Linked DNA regions of Stegostoma tigrinum. The protein of the gene in region 3 interacts with the protein of the main gene of each other region in a pairwise test. Links are inferred from orthologs where the notes say so. Each region holds a gene or a part of one and is shown on either strand. Other genes may lie near its edges.

Evidence for each region.
Region 1: the proteins of abl interactor 2 (region 3) and nup62l interact in binary tests that used the Homo sapiens proteins (3 or more experiments, as listed by UniProt). The link is inferred for Stegostoma tigrinum from reciprocal best matches to the Homo sapiens genes ABI2 and NUP62.
Region 2: the proteins of abl interactor 2 (region 3) and eif3hb interact in a two-hybrid assay, tested with the Homo sapiens proteins (2 studies listed by BioGRID and IntAct). The link is inferred for Stegostoma tigrinum from reciprocal best matches to the Homo sapiens genes ABI2 and EIF3H.

The regions. Positions count from the first base shown.
Region 1 is NC_081368.1:73,416,588-73,420,339, forward strand, and holds the start of nup62l (nucleoporin 62 like), read right to left. Parts: upstream 2,390-3,752; 5' UTR 2,202-2,389; intron 1,842-2,201; 5' UTR 1,834-1,841; coding exon 1,550-1,833; intron 1-1,549. UniProt on the Homo sapiens protein: Essential component of the nuclear pore complex. The N-terminal is probably involved in nucleocytoplasmic transport.
Region 2 is NC_081358.1:13,625,981-13,629,732, reverse strand, and holds the start of eif3hb (eukaryotic translation initiation factor 3 subunit H-B), read right to left. Parts: upstream 2,633-3,752; 5' UTR 2,627-2,632; coding exon 2,470-2,626; intron 1-2,469.
Region 3 is NC_081360.1:20,332,259-20,336,010, forward strand, and holds the start of abl interactor 2, read right to left. Parts: upstream 2,788-3,752; 5' UTR 1,565-2,787; coding exon 1,448-1,564; intron 1-1,447. UniProt on the Homo sapiens protein: Regulator of actin cytoskeleton dynamics underlying cell motility and adhesion. Functions as a component of the WAVE complex, which activates actin nucleating machinery Arp2/3 to drive lamellipodia formation.

The DNA.
Region 1 (3,752 bases), on a different chromosome or scaffold from region 3:
GCATCCCTAAACCAGCCCAGTTCGTCCCCTCCCACCACTGCACCACACAACCAGCCCAGCCCTTCCCCCCCACCCACTGCATCCCAAAACCAGTCCAACCTGTCTCTGCCTCCCTAACTGGTTCTTCCTCTCACCCATCCCTTCCTCCCACCCCAAGCCGCACCCCCATCTCCCTACTAACCTCATCCCACCTCCTTGACCTGTCTGTCTTCCCTGGACTGACCTATCCCCTCCCTACCTCCCCACCTACACTCTCTCCACCTATCTTCTTTACGCTCCATCTTCGGTCCGCCTCCCCCTCTCTCCCTATTTATTCCAGTTCCCTCTCCCCATCCCCCTCTCTGATGAAGGGTCTCGGCCGGAAACGTCAGATTTTGTGCTCCTGAGATGCTGCTTGGCCTGCTGTGTTCATCCAGCCTCACATTTTATTATCTTGCATCTGTCATGTGTTTGCCTAACCAGCAGAACTTTCAGCCAATTTTAGGTCATGGCATTAAATAGATAGTTACTTAATACGAAATTGACTGAACGACATTAAATGGTAATTTTTAAATTAATTGTTTTCTCAGTTAAAAACTGTATCTCTGAATTTTTAAATGTAAGTGGTTTTTTTTTGGATCTGGACCAAGAAGAGAAACTCTCCAGAGCTTGCTCTTAGTACTCTTTCTTTGATTGACCATCTTGCAGTGAGAATCAAGCGATCTCCATTTGGCATCTAATGGCATCACCATCCCTGAAAGCTCCATCCAGATTTTGGGGCTTCCAATGCCCGTAAACTGAAACGCACAATCCATAGTGTTGCTCGAACAGTAGGTTAGAGGCTACAAATTCTGCAGCAAGCAACTCACTTATTGACTCCCCAAAACCTGTCCACCATCTACAAGGCAACAGAAACGTGACTGAATACTGCCCATTTGCCTGTGGGTATGCAACTCCAACACCAATGAAGAAGCATGAGAGCAACCAAGTAGAAACAGCCTGCTTGACTGACACAACCAGAAACAAACCCCCCCCGGATACATAGTGGCAGCAGTACATAAGATGCACCGCAGTAAGTCAACAATGGGTTATCTGACAGCACCTTCCAAACCTGTGACCGCTACTTCCTAGAAGAACAAAGGGCACATGAGAACACTTCCACCTGGAGGTTTCCTTCGGAGCCACTCAGAATCCTGTCTTAGAAATGTATTGCCATTCCTTCAGTGCTGCTGAGTCAAAATCCTAGAACTGACTCCTTAACAGCACCACGGATATCCATACACATCACGGACTGCAAAGATTCAAAACAGCTCAACATCATATACTCAAGTTCAACTGGGGATGGGCAAATGAGTGCTGGACTTACAAGTAACATCCACATCCAAGTAGGTCATGACAACACAAATTACCAAGACCTACGGTCAACCCATCTCCACATTTTCTCCCTCCAATATTGACATTCTCTGTTGAATTCCACAACACATCCATCCACTCCCTCCAGTTCACTCATCCACCGCCAGTCCAGTCTTTGGCTGTGAACATTAATGTGTAGGTACAGACTATGGCCTACCCAAGAGAGAAGCCTCCAGTAGTGGCAGTTGTTGCTGGCTGTGTTGGCAGGCAGAATCCAGTAGATGATGCGACTCCAGTAGTGGGAGTGCTGAACGAAAACAGACCAGTGCTGGGTGCTGAGGTGGCCGTTGTTGTAACCTGCTGGGGTGTTCCAAAGCTAAAGGTCCCTTGGGAGGCTGCAGTAGTGCTGCCAAAAGAGAACGCACTCCCTGTGCCTGCCGTCTTGGGAGCAGTGAAGGAGAAGCTGCCGCCTCCAGCCGGATTCCCAAAATTGAAGCTCATTTTGAAATCTAGAGAAAAATGGAAATTATCAGTCCACTGGTTGCAGCCTGTTAGGCTACATGCACACTCAACTAAGAGACTTAACCTCCTCCTTGCTCTAACCTACCCCACTCCATCCCCACATGGTCAGCAGTGAATTGAGGGGAATGTAGGTTAGGTTATTTTAGTTTTGGATTAGGATTATTCCACGGTACAACATCGTGGGCCAAAGGGCCTGTACTGTGCTGTTCTATGTTCTATCCCCATCCACCTCACCCGAAAACCCTGCCTCACCCCATTCTCCCATCCCACCTCTTCACCCAGCCCACCTCTCCAGATTAGATGTCTGTCTCTTGGGGCCGACTTGATGTTCTTGCGGTCTCACCTACCTTGGGGTTCCGGTCTGATTCACGGAAGATCCCCTATGCAAGAACTGGCGCAAACGACAATGGACTCTCTAGGCCGATACCGAAGCGATCTCGCTCCTCTTTTCGGCCCCCTCTATATCCGGCCCTAAATGATCCCGCTCTCTCACAGGTACTGTACGAACAACTTCGCTCGCTACACACCTCCCAAGCCCGCTCGCTCTGATTGGCGAAACCGTGCACCCATCCCCTCGATCCAGCATCGTCGCTGCTGATTGGGCCCCGAGGGCGGGAAGTGCATTGGTCCAGGGAGCTGTCAATCAAACCTAGCCGCCATGTCCATGGTTCCCATAGCGACGAGAAGATTCGCTGGAATAGTAAGTGTGAGGAAGGGAAGTGAGGGGTATAAAGGATGAGGGTGTAGGGAGTGAAAGAAATCGAATGAGTTAAAAAGAGAAAATTTGAGGCAGGGTGTGGAGAGGGAGAGAGAAAAGACATTGAGTACGTGAGTAAAGAGAAAGTTTGAGGGAGGAAGGGACAGAGACAGCGAGGGAGAGATGTAAGTGATAGAAGGAGGTAGGGAGAGAGTGAATGCGGAAAGAGTGCGAGGGAGTGTGAAAGGCTCATCAGTGGAATAGGCTTGACAGGATGAAGGTAGGAAGGATTTTAAGATGAGGCCTTCTGGGGAATGTGTAGTGGTAGGGAGAGAGGAAGGATGAAATATTGTTTTTTTTCTTAGTGTTTAAAGTATATTTTCTGCAATTGTAACATGTGCCGCATCATAATTTATCTCAGCGAGTAATTGCTCAGTGCACCTTTGAGACTACATATGACTTTGCTTCAGCTCCGAAACGTGTAGAACAGCAGATCAGTTATTATCCTAGTTTTTTTACACAGTGCAGTGTTTCTTGTCGCTTGCTTTACTTGGAATAAGTCATTAGCCTCTTGCCAGAGGCTTAGTGCAAGGGATGCCACTCCTCATCATGCATGGCTGACTGGAAAACTCTCCACTCTCACTGCCTTGGTAAGGAAGTCGGAAGGAATTTGCTGGTAGATGCTCCAACCTGTTTGGCCAACTTTGGCTTCTAAACAGCAACAGGGAGGTGGGGGTTTCAGTTGGTAGTTACTTTTTAAAAAAAGGAAAGCAAAGAGAACACATTGAGGAAATTCCAAAGGCAATTTATCAATGTATTGGGGGAAGAAAGTAACCAATGAAAGAGTTGGGACAGAAGTGGCCACATATATAGAGCTGAGGTTTTAAATGAGTACTTTGTGTCTGTATTCACTATAGAGTAAAAAATGAAGGTATATAAATCAACAAGGGGGGGTTGCAATATATTTTAATAAATTCGAAGAAGACACCAAAAAGGTTGATGACGGTAGAGCAATAGATATTGTTTATTTGGATTTCAGTGAAGCCTTTGACAAGCTTCCGCATGGTTAGGTCACATGGGATTCAGAGTGAGCTTGCCAACTGGATACATGATTGGCTTAATGCAGAAGACAGAAAGTATTGGTGGAGGGTTGCTTTTTGGACTGAAGACATGTAACCAGCCGTGTTCCACAGGGATCAGT
Region 2 (3,752 bases), on a different chromosome or scaffold from region 3:
AAAGATAACTGGGCCTGCCAATACTGTCTCCCCAAAATATGTCCATTATCAACAAGGCACAAAAAAGGCAAGATGCATTTATATAGTGCTTTTCCAACATCAGCACATGCCAAAACACTTACTTGAAAAACAGGAATTGCAAAAGGCTACTTCCACAGAACAAAGTACAACCAGATAATGCATTCTGGTGAAGCTAAGGAATAAACATAAATTAGCTCGTCAGTACATGATAGGATACTGTCCCCATGCCTGATTAGTAAAATATCAACGATAGCCAAAAAGACTGGCATTCACCCATGACTTAAATATAATTGCCTTCACCCCCAGCACATCTGAAGCGCAAAATCTTGACGCAGTATCTTGCCAATACATCTTCAATCAACATCATTGTCAAAATCTATCACTACAAAGGCAACAGTCGCATTGTGACATCACCGGTTCCACATTTTCTTCCAAGTCTTATGCAATACTCACTTAAAAATAAATACTATTTCTTCATTGTTATTGAGCCCAAATCCTGGAACACCTCTCTGTAACCCCATACAAACATCACTTTGGGAGTATCTTAATCACACAATAACTAGTGTTGCTAACCACATCCACATTTCATAAATGGATAAAAACGTTGCATAAAAGGAGCCTACACCTCGTCACAGTGAGCCCTCTATACTTGTTTGGAAAAATAAACTTTATCTAAATATGAACTCATGCACTGATGGGTCTAGGCCCGAAACGTCAGCTTTTGTGCTCCTGAGATGCTGCTTGGCCTGCTGTGTTCATCCAGCCTCACATTTTATTATCTTGGAATCTCCAGCATCTGCAGTTCCCATTATCACTGATGGAGTAAGTTGCTTAGGTAGAATACCAAGTATCCAGGTGTTACATTTTATATTACTGATCAGTCAAGTCAAACTCCAGACATTTTCTGGAACTATAAGCTGAAATGCATCTGAAGAAAATGACCACCTTGGGAAAGAGAACCTGATTCTCATTCTCAAACATCTACATTTGAGGAGAACGGAAAACTGGTACTCGAAGGCAGTGCAAGGTACACTGCTGGGACAGAGTAAAGAGAACTTTAAGTTCTATTTAAATCGTACTAAAATCAGACAAACCTGGGAATGCTTAAAGATGACATAGTGTCCAGAAAATGTGGAAAAAAAACGAAGAATCTCGCACGACCAAACATTCAAAGTGAATGTATTATCTACAAATGTCTTGCAAGTGACAAATCTGGCTTTTGTCCAATCAGCAGTAAGCAGTATTCTCGAAATAGGAAATACAGACAGACGACCTATAGGGAGTTATCGAAGAGTAATGTGTGGTAACTCCAGTTTCCTTAACTTGCTATTTACTCAAAATGCATGGTGTGGAAAATTGTTGCTCCTATTCTTGTCTAGCAAACTGTGCTGACTTATTGGGTGCATTGGATAGATTTCAAACCAAGTGTAGTTTTAACCTAGATATAAAAATCTGAATATTGTCAATCAAAATGCATAGAGAAATCTAGTTACTTAACATAATTTCATTTTGTGCCTGAAGAGATGAAACTGATGCAGTTTTCTTCTGACAAAAGATTTGGGTTTAGTCACATTTCAATAGCACCATTTTCAAGGTACATGGGTTTTAGTTCCATATTAATTATATTAGCCAAGCTTGAAGTAACTTATTAAATATTTTCAAATAAATGGAAAACTGTACAGAAAGAGAAACAAAACAAATTCCTACATATAAGTAATTATGTAGAACAGAAAATTTGATAAAAATGGAAAATTCAGGAGGAAATGGTAAAAAAATTCCAATGAATAAAGTATATTTTAACAGCTTTTCAACTGTAATCCGATTGTTAACATACTGAAACAATTTTTGTGTTACCCAAAGATTAATCGTGCTCATTAGTATTTTTTCTGACAGATATTCAGGATGTAACATTTACTTCTCGGTTGGAAACTTTGTAACAGCCTGCCAGCTATGGCAAATAGTGAGCTTGGGGAAGGCAATAAAGATGTTTTACCTACAGCTATGATACTGCACAGAACATCTGGTTTAGTGAGTAAAGGAAACGCCACTAAATGGGCAGAAAAAAGAAAATCTTTGTGCTAAGAACAGTCTACGTTTTGTGAGCGCCTGTCAGAGGTGCAATCTGGCAAAATGTGTCATAACTGTAAGGTCACGTACTGAGCCAGACTCAAGCAATCAGTTTTTGTTAGACATCTGGTCCTGTTCCACCCGCCATCAACAAGGGGGAAGAGGAATGAAAAAAAATTGAAGCAGCAACTTCAGCATTCCAGAATGTACACATCAGGGCTCTGATAGCAAGAAAAATAAACAGAAAGAAGGAAACCCTGTCTAGACTGAGCTGCTGCTGGGGCTGAGGCAGACACTGGGCTGGTATTTACTGAGAGGGACTGCCAGGCAGCACTGCCAGGTAAACAGTGAAGTAGAAATGAATAGGAAAACGTCACTGACCATAGATGAGGACCACAGACTCTTCAATTGCGTGTTGGTAACTAAACTGGGAGTCCAACAAAGCTCGACTGACGAAAGAGCCATAGTAGGTTGACTGGTACCAGCCAACATGGAGGTGGTCTATGTTAACATGACGCAAGCTTCTCATCATTTCCATTTGGTATTGAACTGTAAAACAAACAGAAAGAAACCATTTTTTTCAATTTTAAGCAGAGTTACAATCAGATTTACACTGCTTAAATATTTTATGATCAGATTCTGTCTATGAATGATACAACACAAAACATTAAACACCATTCTCAAGTATTAACCCTGCAGAGTACTGTTACATATATTTGACACAAAACCTATTGGTACCACTTGATAATTATCTCTCAGTCTGATCCCTGCTGAAAATCTACTCCTGGTCAGGACTTAAGATTCAAGCACATTATTACGCTTATGTGTAAAACTTCTGCAAGTCAGAAAAAAACATGCACATGATAATTTACTCCAGCGAAAACTTTAGAATTACTAGTCTAGATAATTGGAAACTATTTAGATAGTGGGACATACCACATAACATTCAATACTATCATTTGGTTACACGTTCTTTAACTTGTACAGAATAAATAATCAATCTGTAACACTCACACACATTATTATTAGATATTAAAGTATATAATAATGATGATCACCCAAGATCGTAGAGGGCTTTCACAGATGTCCAACTTACTTTGTGCACCAATTGCCATTATTTGGGCTAGAGACCACAAAAGATACAATTTTAACCCATTTTCTTTTAAAATACTGTTTACAGAAAGTCTAAAATGCTCAACTTCAAAATACAGAATAGCGGTTACATCCAAGACACAATTTCTACAAGGTTGATACGTCAAAGTTGACCACACTGAACTTGCCTACTACTCAAATCTCAAAACAATCCTTTGTTGCTTTAAACTAGAAACATGCCTGATGGCTTATAACCATTCCAAACAACCAGAGTATTTAAAATCTTCGAGATCTATTAGGGATTGGACAATACCCACACAAGAACAGGATTAGGCCATTCGGCACTCAAACCTGTTCCATCATTCCAGATAATGGCTGATCATCTATCTCAATGCCATATTCATGCAATATTCCGACTTCTCTTGGTATCATCAGTAACTAGAAATGTGTAAATGTCTACTTTGAACTTAATGACTGAAATTCCACAGCCCCCTCAGTTAGAGAATTTTAAAGATTCACCAACCTCCAGGCGAAGAAGTTCTTCATTTCACTGCAATAAATGACTATGCTAT
Region 3 (3,752 bases):
ATTAAAAAAACTGTATAAAACTGTTTCATACAATAGGCACAGCAAACTAACCAAAATTAATTTAACAGGCATAATTTAAAAGCAGATTCAATTTCTGAACCAGCCATATTACCCACTCAGGCTATAAAAGATAGATGCAATTTTTTTTCTAAAGTTTGCATTCATTTAACAAACTTCTGAAAACATTCAACAGGGAGACAATCACTGACTTGCTGATCAATACCTATGAAAACATTCTAATCCTATTTTCAATATTGCTTCTTCTCTCTCAGTTCAAGGTCATAATCAACATTTCCTTGAAGTGTCCTTATCCTCAGCTGTAATTAAGTCATTTCCCCCACACATTGTTTCTCCCAAATTCAAAACCATACAGCTCCTTCATGACTGTTTCATGCAATGCAAACTTGGAATTGGCAGTTTAGTATTTGGTTCCATTCTCCTGTTCATGTTTGAATGGCACTCTGCAGAACAAGCTATGGCATTTGCTGTCACCAACAGTTGCCCACTAACTTCACCCGCACGATAATGACATCCAGTCAGTCACTGTCTTTGAAAGTAGTTGGCATACAGCCTCCCACACAGATGCAGTGGATATTTTACAGCAAATCCATCGTTCATTAGTCTTTACAAAATTCTTTACTCGGGAATATGTACACGTGCGATTTTTTTGCGGGTGGAGACGAACAGTGAGGAGGGGAGGGAAAAAAAAAGCAAAAGATCCGACCTCGAATTATTCCAACAAATGGAAATTAGGATTTTATTAGCCAGATCAGGGCAGATCCCAGCCAACTAGGACAATTACCCTCGTAACCACAAGACAGCATTCTTAAAAACAGCCAAGAATGCCTGCCAGATTTTCCATCAAGCTCAGAATCATGGAGTTAAGAACACACGATTCAGAATCACACCGCAGTCGGGGGGGGGGGGGGGGGGGGGTTAAAAAAAATGCCAGGCAAAGTAAGTGCCAGAGAATGTGAACCAGATACTGAATTCTGAAGAAAAGACGGAGTTAAGGGGCCGTGATTGAAAGCTGAAGACAAACGTAGCTTCGGGAGACCCTCTGGTTACGGAAGGTACAACAGGTCGAAAAGTCAGGGAGGCTGAAAGCCCCTCTGTTCCCAGCCGGAGTGGGGTGGGGGGAGGAGAGAGAGAACGGGGAAACGGACAACTCCGATCCATTCTCTTTCCCCCCACGCCACCGAAGGGAAAAGCGGGCGGAGGCGAGGGCAATACGAAAGCCGGTCTCCACGACATTCACCTGGGAGTACGGGCGAGAGTGGTGGTGGTGGTGGGTGGGGGGGTTCCGGCTCGGCCTAGCCGGGGAGAGGGTTATGAGGGGGAGCCGAGCCACCAGCCCGGGACCCCCCACCCCCAAACCACCTCCCCTCCGGACCGCCGATCAGAGTTGGCCCCCGTTGTCCCTCGCCTCCCCAGTCCGGTCTCTCACCTGGATGTAGTTGCTCTCGCAGTACTCGGCCACCCGGTCCAGGTTGTGGTAACTGTCCAAGAGCGCTCGGCGACCCGCGGGGATCTCCTCCTCCAGCAGCATCTGCAGCTCCGCCATCTTCCCCACATCTTCCGACACTGGGGATGCGGGACCGGAACCGGAAACAGGGGGAGGTGGGGCGGAGAGGGGGTGCAGTGGGGAGGATGGACTCACTTCCGGAAAGCCTGCCCTCACACCCCTCAAACCACACACCAAACCCCCCTCCCCCTACTGTTCTCTCTCTCTCTCACACACACACGCATATACAGCCCTGCATGGCAACTCGAACAACCAAGATCTCCCTTAGCAACCAACACCCCAGCAACCATCATTCCCCTAGCAACCAGGATCCTTCTTAGCAAACAGCCTAGCAACCAACATTCTCCGTAGTAACCACCACTCATCCTAGCGACCATCACCCGCCCGGCAACCAGCGCACCCTAGCAACTATCATTCACCCCATCAACCAGCACTGATCCAAAAGATCCAGCACTCAACTTAGCTGTGATCATCTCCCCTCGCAACCAGCATTGACTCTACCAATATCATTGCCCGAGCAACGAGCACTCATGCTTGCAACCAGCACTCAATATAGCAGCCATTATTATCACCAGCAAAGAGCACTCACCCTAGCAACTATCATTCCCTTAGCAACCAGCAAGCACTATAACAGTCTGCAATCATCCTAGCAACCACTATACACCAGGAACACGCCCACACACCCTAGCAACAACACACGCTGTGGATCATAATTATTCCAGAAACTAACACACCTTGACAAACAGATCTCATGCAACCATCATCTCCCCAAGAATCCATAATTTTTCCAAGCAACCAGAATTCTGCTCGTAACCAGCATTCACGATGGCAACCTTCAATCATCCCTTCAGGAACCGGCAGTTCCCCCAAGCAACCTTTAAGCATTCCTTCAGGAACCAGCATTCATCCTAGCAATTATCAATCATCCCAACAACCAGAATCAAGCTTAACAACCAGCATTCAGCTTAGCAAACATCATACACCTAGTAACCAGCACTTATCAAAGCAATCATCAACCCCCCTCGAAACAAGTAATCGCCCTGTCAATCAGGAAACAGTCTACCTCTAACAACTATTGTCCTACTCGTACTCACTATAGGAACCATCATTCCACAAAACCAGCACTCACCCTAGCAACAATCATAACCTCGTAATTTTTATCATTCCTGGCAACCAACATATACAGTACCCTCAGAACAGTTGCACACCGCAGCAAAAGACCACTATAATAGTGAGAAAACAGGTACTCCAGCAGCTGATAAATTTCCAGGAACTACAAATCAAAGGAGGTTCCAACTAAAATAACCACACCCTGACACGCAGGAAGAAACATAAAAATCAATCTACACCTTAGCCTGCTGATTTGCATAGGAAGAGAGGCAGCATCAATAACAAACCATTGACCACAGCAATAGCTACTTTAAGTAGTAATAGGCTCACCATACCAGTTAGGTCACAGGCATGTAGCCTTCAGTTCTGAAGCTTCATTAAAGTTTATAATGTCTGATTCGTTTTCAACTTAATTCAAATGAAATGCATTAACATGAAGAAAAGTAAGAACAATGTTTTTATTGTATGGCTAAAAGGCTAATCAATATGCTACACTTTACACTTTCAATTCATTATCTTGCAAAAATATCAAAAAATATAAAACTGCCTCATAGCTATGGATAATGTCTTTAGTTGGAGGAATAGATTTTTATGGTTGTTATCATCATTGCTTCTAACATAGCTAGGATATGCTAGAACAGAAAATGCTATTAGAAACCACAAGAATCCATAGCTGAAAAATTTCTTTAATTCCATACACCTGCAATTAAAGTTTGTTTCAAAGATAAGTTTACTGACAATATGATTGTGTAAAAGGCTCAAAAACAAGTTTCAAATTTTAATCTATTTAGTTTTATTGGAAAATGAATATGTACATTGAATTTATGTATTATATATGCAACAGTCATAAAGACTTGGCAATTTTTCAAGTGTTTTCTTTAGAAATGCCTTTTTATCTTGTAGCTTCCAATTGATTTTATTTTTGATTTTTTTTAAAAGGCTCTTCAGCTAAATAATCCTGAACGCTGTACTAAGTAAAGAATCTAGAAAATACTTTAAGGCTGCAAAGGAATGAATGAGACTTTAGTAAGAAACTAGCTCAATCCACAAAGCAGTTAGCTGAAGTACACTTTTGTTATTAGGATACATTTTGAAATTAGGATGGAAGCATCAGATT